2 linked regions of the Callithrix jacchus genome follow. The protein of the gene in region 2 binds, or shares a complex with, the protein of the main gene of each other region. Links are inferred from orthologs where the notes say so. Each region holds a gene or a part of one and is shown on either strand. Other genes may lie near its edges.

Evidence for each region. The genes of interacting proteins can lie anywhere in the genome.
Region 1: the proteins of SNAP29 (region 2) and VAMP8 are in contact, whole or in part, in a crystal structure (PDB 4WY4), measured with the Homo sapiens proteins. The link is inferred for Callithrix jacchus from reciprocal best matches to the Homo sapiens genes SNAP29 and VAMP8. Residues at the interface, in NP_004773.1 of Homo sapiens: Leu206, Leu209, Ser210, Leu213, Leu216, Lys217, Ala220, Leu221, Met223, Gln224, Ile227, Glu228, Gln230, Asp231, Leu234, Leu237, Thr238, Val241, Asp242, Leu244, Asp245, Ile248, Lys249, Thr251, Glu252, Val255, Arg256, Leu258; in NP_003752.2 of Homo sapiens: Leu16, Glu19, Val20, Val23, Ile26, Met27, Gln29, Asn30, Arg33, Ile34, Arg37, Asn40, Leu41, Leu44, Lys47, Thr48, Asp50, Leu51, Thr54, Ser55, His57, Phe58, Thr61, Ser62, Val65, Lys68, Phe69.

What each region holds. Positions count from the first base shown.
Region 1 is NC_133515.1:27,443,202-27,447,441, forward strand, and holds the end of VAMP8 (vesicle-associated membrane protein 8), read right to left. Parts: intron 4,197-4,240; coding exon 4,038-4,196; intron 1,617-4,037; coding exon 1,476-1,616; 3' UTR 1,159-1,475; downstream 1-1,158. UniProt on the Homo sapiens protein: SNAREs, soluble N-ethylmaleimide-sensitive factor-attachment protein receptors, are essential proteins for fusion of cellular membranes.
Region 2 is NC_133502.1:193,238,667-193,243,615, forward strand, and holds part of SNAP29 (synaptosomal-associated protein 29), read right to left. Parts: intron 1,327-4,949; coding exon 1,169-1,326; 3' UTR 1-1,168. UniProt on the Homo sapiens protein: SNAREs, soluble N-ethylmaleimide-sensitive factor-attachment protein receptors, are essential proteins for fusion of cellular membranes.

The sequences.
Region 1 (4,240 bases), on a different chromosome or scaffold from region 2:
AGGAGTTTAAGACCAGCCTGGGCAACATAGTGAGACCATGTCTCTACAAAAATTTTAAAAATTAGCAAGCATGGTAGCACACACTTGTGGTCCCAGCTACAAGGGAGACTGAAGCAGGAAGATCTCTTAAGCCCAGTGACCCGTGATCATACCACTGTGCTCTAGCCTGGGCAACAGAATGGGATCCTATCTCCAAAAAAATAAAAATAAAAATACCACAAGGGTCTTTTCTGACCTTTCCTCCTCCCTCCCCAAATTACAGAGCATGATTCTTGCAGAGCCTGACTTGCTAATCTAGTCCCAAATCCTAAATCCCAACCCTTTCCCTTCCTCCCAACAACAGGTTGTTTCCAATTCTGGAAGCCTGTGGAGGAAACAGGAACAGATATGGCAAGAACCCTCCCTGCAAACCAAGGCAGACTGGGCACTGGAAAGAGTGACAGTGATGATGGAACCTGGTAGGGAGGAGGGGCGTCTGAGACAGAAAGGCTCATTGTGCACGGATGGGAAAGAGGACCATTGGCCCTGTCCTGTGACACTGACTGACTGACTGTGCCCAACCATGGGATGCTGAGGAGAGACGCTCACCCCCTCAGAACAGCTGAGACCCAGAGGCTTTGCTAAGTCCCAGAAGACAGGGACAGAGAAAAGACAGCTAGAACACGCAGAAGCACAAGGAAAGGAATAGCAGTCCAGTTCCTCCAGCCCTTGACTCTAGACTACAGGGTTGCTGAAGAGAGATGGCTGTGATAGAAGAGGCAGGAGGCCCTCAACCAGCTTGTAAATGCTCTGTCCAGGTAGGCTTCATGCCTTAGCTAACAACTCCAGAAGAACAGTACTAAAGGGTCATGGCAGGACCCAACGGGAACACTTAAAAATCTCATCTACCACCCCAAAATGCTATGAAGGTTTTGAATTTTCTTTATGCCAAGACTCCCAGAAAATTCTTGTTTTTGAGACCTGTGACAATAAATGGAACAGGGAGGAATAAAGAAAGACATGGGGGCTCCATCTTTCTTCTCCAAACATATACTCTTTGCCCCTCCAACAACTTGGACCTCAAATGGGAGAACCTCACCCAGAAGGTATCCTCGGGAAGAAAAGAAATAGAAAAGCCAAAGGCAAAATGGGAAGGGAAAAAGTGCCTCCTCACACACATAGGGATACTGAAAGGTCTTTATTGCCCACTGGCCACTGATAGTTTCCCAGCCACATGCTAGGCCCTCTAGGTCTCTCCAACCCACTCTAAGGACCTGTGAAATGCAGCCACAGTCCAGCTCTCTTTTTCCCTCTCCTTCCAGGGGACCAAGGTGCCCTCTGGGGCATACAACATGGCAGCAGGACCGTGGGAAGAGGGGCAGGAGGACTGAGCAGCATTCTCTGTAGAGGAGGACAGGAAAGGAGACCTCTCTTGGCACTCATTTATGGAGGGTTGTCCCTGAAGAGAAGGGCAGGTGGGAGAGGTTCCCTGTTACTTAGGAGAAAGCACCAGTGGCAAAGAGCACAATGAAGAGGATGATAATGAAAACAATCACGCAGATAAGGACAATCATCTTCACGTTCTTCCACCAGAACTTCCGAGCCACCTTCTGCGATGTCGTCTTGAAGTGCTCAGACTGTTGAGGATAAGGCAGAGTGAGTGACCCAGTGGCTCCTCCCACTGAAACAAGAGTGCAAGAATACAAATGCAGCCCACAGACCATACATCTTTTTTTTTTTTTTTTGAGATGGAGTCTCACTCTGTTGCCCAGGCTGGAGTACAGTGGCGAGATCTTGGCTCACTGCAGCCTCCACCACCCAGGCTCAAGTGATTCTCCTGCCTCACTCAGCCTCCTGAGTAGCTGGGATTACAGGCACCCACCACCACACCCAGCAAACTTTTGTATTTTTAATACAGATGAGGTTTCACCATGTTGGCTAGGCTGGTCTCGAACTCCTGACCTCAAGTAATCTGCCCACCTGGGCCTCCCAAAGTGCTAGAATTACAGGCATGAGCCACCACACTGGGCCTACAAGGCTAGACATCTGTCTGTTTGTTTATTTGAGACAGTTTCACTCTGCCTCCCAGGCTGGATTGCAGTGGTGCAATCTCAGCTCATTGCAACCTCTGCCTTCCAGGTTCAAGCAATTATCCTGCCTTAGCCTCCCAAGTAGCTGGAATTACAGGGGTGCACCACCATGCCCAACTAAGTTTTATATTTTTAGTAGAGATAGGGGTTCACCAAGTTGGCCAGGCTGGTCTTGAACTCCTGACCTCAGGCAATCCGCCTGCCTTGGCCTCCCAAAGTGCTGGAATTACAAGCATGAGCCACCATGCCCAGCTTTGTTTGTTTGTTTGTTTTTTGAGACAGGGTCTCACTCTATCACCCAGGCTGGAGTGCAGTAGCACAATCTCAGCTCACTGCAGCCTCCATCTCTAGGGCTCAAGCAATCCTGCCTCCTCAGCCTCCTGAGTGCTGGGACTACAGGCACATGCCACCATACCCTGCTCAAGCCATACATCATAATACTGACACTGTAAGCTGAGGTAACAAACTACTAAATAAAAGATGCTCTATCCACCTACCTTGACAAATATACCTTCCTAAAAATCTGGAAGGCCAGGTTGAAATTTAGAATTCTTAAAATCCTGGGAGGTCGCTACCTAGATACGACTAGGGGTTCCCTTTCTCTTCTTACCCCTGCACTGCCATGCACACTGAGGGGTCCTTGAAACCTGCTCACACCCAAAGGTACAACACTGGCAGCACAGTCTGCTCTTGGAAGGGCAGACTCTGGGACTGAGGAGTGCAGGCTCCAGGTGGGCACCTCTCCCAGCTCCAAGACTCCTTGCTGAGGCTGAAGGAGGGACCAGGACAGGACAGAGGGTTGGAAGTAAGGGAACTCCTCCTCTTCCACCCACTCTTTCCCATCCCCAGCAATTCGAGTTAGAGACACTGAATTTCCTAGAGCTTGGCCGGGCATAGTAGCTCAAGTCTGTAATCCCAGCACTTTGGGAGGCCAAGGCGGGCAGATCATCTGAGGTCAGGAGTTTGAGACCAGCCTTGCGAACATGGCGAAACCCCATCTCTACCAAAAATACAAAAAATTAGCCAGGTGTGGTGATGCACACCTGTAATCCCAGCTACTCAGGAGGCTGAGGCATGAGAATCGTTTGAACCTAGGAGGTGAAGGTTGCAGTCACCCAAGATTGTGCCTCTGAGCTCACTTCTATCCTCAGCAACAGAGTAAGACTCCGTCTCAAAAAAAAAAAGTCCCTAGGCTGTGCTCTCCAAATTAAGCTACGTTTAAGCTGCAGAAACAGGCACTGAGTCCCAGGGAGACAAGGGAGCAGTACTCAAGGGCCAGGAGTTCACACAGAACTCAGAAAGCCAGAGCAGGCCTCTCCCCGAACACAGAACCTGAGGCTCCAGGCTTTGCTCAACTTTGGAGTTACTTCCTCCCTGAAACAGCTGGCCTCAGCCCCTGGCTGGAGAGAGGAATGAGGTCTAGCAAGATGTGTGGGAGATATTATTCTAGCCTTCATCTAGCAGGGGACCCTGGGATCAAAGCATTTTACTGCTCTTTCCAGCTTGTTTTTAAAGCCAACTTACCAAGATGCCAGCAATTTCTCACCCTTTGCCTAATAGCTCCTAGAGAAGGCTAGAGGCCATAGGGGAGTTTCCTCAGAGCCAATATTTCTGCCCTGGGAAGGTCAGATGCAAATGATTGTCTTGGGCAGGCTTCAAAGGGAAATTCAGTTTCCCAGGAGAGAATCCTAAGAATGCAGGGGCTGACTGAGCTATTGGTCTCAGAACATGCCTCTATGGGCGAGCTGCCACCTCAAGCCCCAGTCATGGGATCCATTCCCTGGGATCCCTAACAATCTGTGGATCAGAGCAGATTCAGAAGTAGAGACTGCTCATATCAGCTCCCAAACCTGGTGAAAAGCAACAGAAATGGCTAACTTCTGGCCCTCGTGTTTATTTTGCCCCACCAAAAAGAAATTCCCTTCCTCCCTCTTTTCCTCCAACCCCCAGTGGGTTTCCCGTCCTCACTGTGGCTTCCAGATCCTCTGTCTTGTTGCGGAGATGCTCCAAGTTTTCCCCTCGGGCCAGGATCCGCTCCACATTCTGGGTCATGATATTCTTAACTCCCTCCACCTCACTCTGCAGGTTCCTTACGCGATCATTTCCTCCACCTTCACTGCCTTCCTCCTGCACAGCAACATGGGGTTAATTAGAACAAGTGCTGGGGGAAC
Region 2 (4,949 bases):
GATGTACTAACAAAGAAATTAATTTTAATTGATGTTTCTAAATGATTCCTTTTGTAAAACGATAGGAGAAAATGAACTGGGCCAGTTAAAATGGTATCTGGGCCTTTTCCCCCCTTAGCCAAATCCTTCTATACAAAGTCAGCATCATTTGTAGAGTTCCAGTCCTAAAACTGGGTGGCAGAGAAATAAGTGATGATTCAAGTTACCTTGCAAAAAGTGCAGAAGAGTGGGTGGGAGTGCTGGAGACCCCAGGTACTAAATAAACATTTTGTCCTACTGAGGCCTGCCTAATGGTGATTCTCAGAGGGGTGGAGGAAGACTACTGCACAGCCACATCTGTGTGACACTCCATTCCCACATACTCTTTTGGGTGCCCCTGCCGGTCACAGCCTGGCAGCCTCGAGCCAGTGGAAGACCTGTTCCCAATCACAGGAGAGTTCCAGATGAGAGCACATGGGGAAGAGGGGCTCAGCCAATTCCCTGCACATTTCTAGGAGTCACAGTGAGTAGCACTGGTCTCTACTAACACGCATGCCAAGGATTGGAGGCTGGAGGGAAGTGGGGACATCTGCCAACGAGAGCAAAGAACATAACACACTCCATTTCCCATTCTAATACTGATCCTTTCCAGGAGATGAAAGAATAAGACGTGTTTGGACAGAGTGTGTGTGTGTGTGTATGACTGTATGTGTACATGTGTGTGAATGACGACTCCTAAACAAAGGTGTGGGAAGGACCTTCCTCTACCAAATGACTGGCTCACGTGCCCCCTTAACACTCTGACTCATAGTAAGGCTTAGGAATAAGAAATAGAGGCTCGTGGCTGTAAGACTGAAATTCCATCTGCATCTTTCCATACGCTCATTAAAGTGAGAAATGCAACTCTTCTTATTCCCATCTGGTAATCAAATACCCAAGATATGCAGGGCCAGGCTATTGTGCTCAGACTGAAACTCTAAGCATTTTGCTGGAAGAAATTGTCGAGGTGTTAACCCTAGGAAAATGTGGAACAAACACTTCCTTATAACCGCAAAATGTCTTAAGATCTACTCTAACATTTGCAAACACACATTAATTTACATACTAAAACAGTAAATGAAATTTCTTGGAAGTTCAAAAAAAGATCTTTCAAATCTTTTTCATCACAACAGTGGAAATCCATCTGTCTTCAGAGTTGTCGAACTTTTCTTTCTGTACTTTTTATGTTGACATCTAACTTGTCCACTTTGGTTGTCAGCCGGTCAAGAATGTCATCTTGCTCCTCAATTTCCGTCTGGATCCCCAGGGCTATGTCCTTCAGACGGCCCAATCCCATGGACAGCTCATCTGTTGGGGAAGGAAATGATACGCAGGCCTGAGCAAACACAGTCTCAGCACATGCAAATGCTTCCTGATGGTGTGGGTAAGGAGGAGAGACATGCCGAGGAATCTGTCGCCTGGTGGGACTGCACTTACTGCAGAGATGAGTCTTGACTTAACTGATTATATCAGGGTAAATAGAAAAGCCTTTTTCCCAGGTTTGTGACTGTGTGTTTGTGCACGCTGGGGTAGGGAGACATGCCCAGGGCTGCTTTCTGCCTTTTTTCTAAGAACAGCAGCCAGGAAAGAGCCAGAGGGGAGGGAGAAGTGGTGGTGCTTTGTAAGCCTTCTTATTTGCAAGATGAAATATAAAACACTAAGCGAAAAAAGGTCAGGATAAACAAATGCCTAGCATTGGCACCACACATCTAAGTGAAATGAGTTTTTTTTAAAAAGGTAGTCTTCAGGCTGTATGCGGTAGCTCACACCTGTAATCCTCACACTTTCGGAGGCCCCAGTGGGTGGACTACTTGACATCGAGAGTTCAAGACCAGCCTGGCCAACAATGGTGAAACCTTGTCTTTATTAAAAAATACAAAAATTAGCTGTGTGTGGTAGTACATGCCTGTATTCCCAGCTACCCAGGAGGCTGAGGCAGGAGAATCACTTGAACTTGGGAGGAGAAAGTTGCAAGTGAGCTGAAATCAACGCACTGCTCTCCAGCCTAGACAACAGAGCAAGAGTCCATTTAAAAAATAAAATAAAAAGATAGGCCAGGTGCGGTGGCTCACGCCTGTAATTCCAGCACTTTGGAAGGCCGAGGCAGGCAGATCACTTGAGATCAGGAGTTTGAGACCAGCCTGGCCAACATGGTGAAACCTCATCTCTACTAAAAATACAAAAATTATCTGGGTATGATGGTGCATGCCAGTAATCCCAGCTACTTGGGAGGGTGAGGCATGAGAATTGCTTGAACCTGGGAGGTAGAGCCTTCAGTGAGCTGAGATTGGGCCACTGCACTCCAGCCTGGGCAACAGAGTGAAACTCTATCTCAAAAAGAAATAAAAAAATAAAAAGATAATCTTCAGGTCAGGCACAGTGGCTCATGCCTGTAATCCCAGTATTCTGGGAGGCTGAGGTGGGAGGATTGCTTGAGCCCAGGAGTTGGAGACTGGCCTAAGCAACAATAAAAAAGAAAAGAAAGAGAAAAACAGTATAATTTAAAAATTGAAAGAAAAAAAAAAAAAGATAGTCTTCAGCTCTTTGCTTCTGGAGCTTACTGAAACTCATGGCCTCATGCTCCATGGAGTAGAGCCTGTGGTTGCCTCAGACCTCAGGAGGAAGCTCACTGGCAGCCAGGGCAGCAAAGGATAAGCAAACAGTGAGGCTAAGATAAAATGTGTGATAATGTAAAGCAACCAGGCAAGGGCACTGGAGTCAAGAGCCTGCCTGAGTTCCAGAAATAGCAGGGAGGGTGTGTTAAGATGGGAAGAGTGTGAGCAAAAGCAACACCCCCTGCCCCACCAGAGTGGCTGGCCTGACCTGTGTCAGCAGGGCTGGAGGGCCAAGCTCTGAACCAGCCACCCGCCCTTCTGCCCTGGCCTACCTCCTACTCTAGACTTCGTCCTGCCAGGACCTGCCCAGCTGCAAGTCCATAGTGCCAATTGTGCACCCTTAGACCCCTAGTGGCGGGCAGTACTTAGCTTTTTGTCCTGTCTCCTGGAATTCAGTATCCTTCATCAATGTCCCTTCTCCCACTTCCTGCCAGCAGGCACCAACCATACCACCTGCTCTAACCACTCCCTTTCTCCTGGTGAAGGACAAAGGGCTTTCAAGCCTCTCTGGGTTTCTCTGGAGTAGTCAGATCTGGGTAGACACACCTTCTACCTCGGAGAAGTCTTTGGCTCTGGAGAACAGAGTCCAGGAAACAGAAGGAGGCGGCGGCTGTCTGGGGCTTCCCAGAGAGTGAGCAGGAGCAAGCCTGTGCGTAGACACTCCATGTGCATCTTCATGAGTTTCAGTTTTGCCTCCCACTAGATATCTTTACAGCAGTGGGCGGGGGGTGGGGGTGGGGGTGGGAATCTTATTATTTCTCCTCTTCACTTTGCCAGCTCCAAACAGGGGCTGGGAGACTAACAGGGTGACCCAGGTAACCATGGGGGAGATTTCTGTTAATGGAGCAGCGGTAAGAGGAGGCAGCAAGTCTGAGACACTACCTAGAACAAAGACACGGAACTGCCCACAAGCCAGTACCTACTTAAATTACTGACTTCTCCAATAAATAATCACTGGCCAGGTCCGATGGCTCATGCCTACAGTCCCAGCACTTTGGGAGGCCGAGGCGGGACTGAGGTCGGGATTTTGAGACCAGCCTGACCAACCCGGAGAAACCCTGTCTCTACTAAAAATACAAAATGAGCTGGGCGTGGTGGCATATGCCTGTAATCCCAGCTACTCGGGAGGCTGAGGCAGGAAAATCACTTGAACCCAGGAGGTAGAGGTTGCTGTGAGCTAGATTCTGCCATTGCACTCCAGCCTGGGCAACAAGAGCAAAACTCCATCTCAAAAAACGAAACAAAACACCAGCAACAACAAAACAAAAAATAATCACTAAGTGCTTGCCTGCTGGGCCCCAGGTACAAAGTAGTGACAAAATGGAAACACTCCCATGCTGCCTGGAATCTGCAGTCTGGTTGGGAAGACAGCAGGCAAACCAGCAGATACACAATCACAAATGACCAGGGCAGCCCCCTAGAAACACAAGGGCCCCAAGAGATGGGGAGAGGACGCCACACTAATGCAAGACTGACAGGAGAAGGAGCCAGCCTGCAGAGTCGGAGGAGGCCACTCCAGGCAGATAAGGGTCACGAGGCAGAAAGAACTCATATCAGAAATCTCACATGAGCTTGCAGGTGATGAGGGCAGAAGGTACTAGGGCAGGCAGAGAGAGCCTGGACTGCATGGTGAGTGTGTGTGGGTTCCATGAGAGAGTTCTGGAAGAATATACCCCCTCACTCCCTTTTAATTTTTTTTTTGAGACCAAGTTTCACTCTTGTTGTCCAGGCCAGAGTGCAATGGTGCAATCTCAGCTCACTGCAACCTCCACCTCCCAGGCTCTAGCGATTCTCCCGCCTCAGCCTCCCGAGTAGCTGGGATTACAGGCACCTGTCACCACATCCGGCTAATGTCTATCTTTTTAGTAGAGATGGGGTTTCACATGTTGATCAGGCTGATCTTGAACTCCTGACCTCAGGCAATCCACTCGCCTAGGCCTCCCAAAGTGCTGGGATTACAAGCATGAGCTACCGCGCCCAGCCCCCTGCACTCGCTTCTGTTTTGAAACATCATGCTGGAGGCTGTGTCACCAAAGTGCCAATTGCAACACTAGTGCTAACTTTTACCATGCCAGGCACTTTCTGGCTCAGGTAATTGTCCCATTGTTCTCAGAGGCATCCCGTTTCACAGAAGAGGAAAACAGGGCTCTGAGTGGCCAATGGGAAAAATGGAGTGAGCGGTCATGTCCAGGCTACACTCGATGGCCTCTCAGGGACTCCTGGGTCCCTGGGTGCTATCATGAAAGAGAGGTAAGGACGGCTCAGTTGGGCTGGAAGTAGGAAATGGTGAGAAGTGGACAGATTCCAGAGACAGTG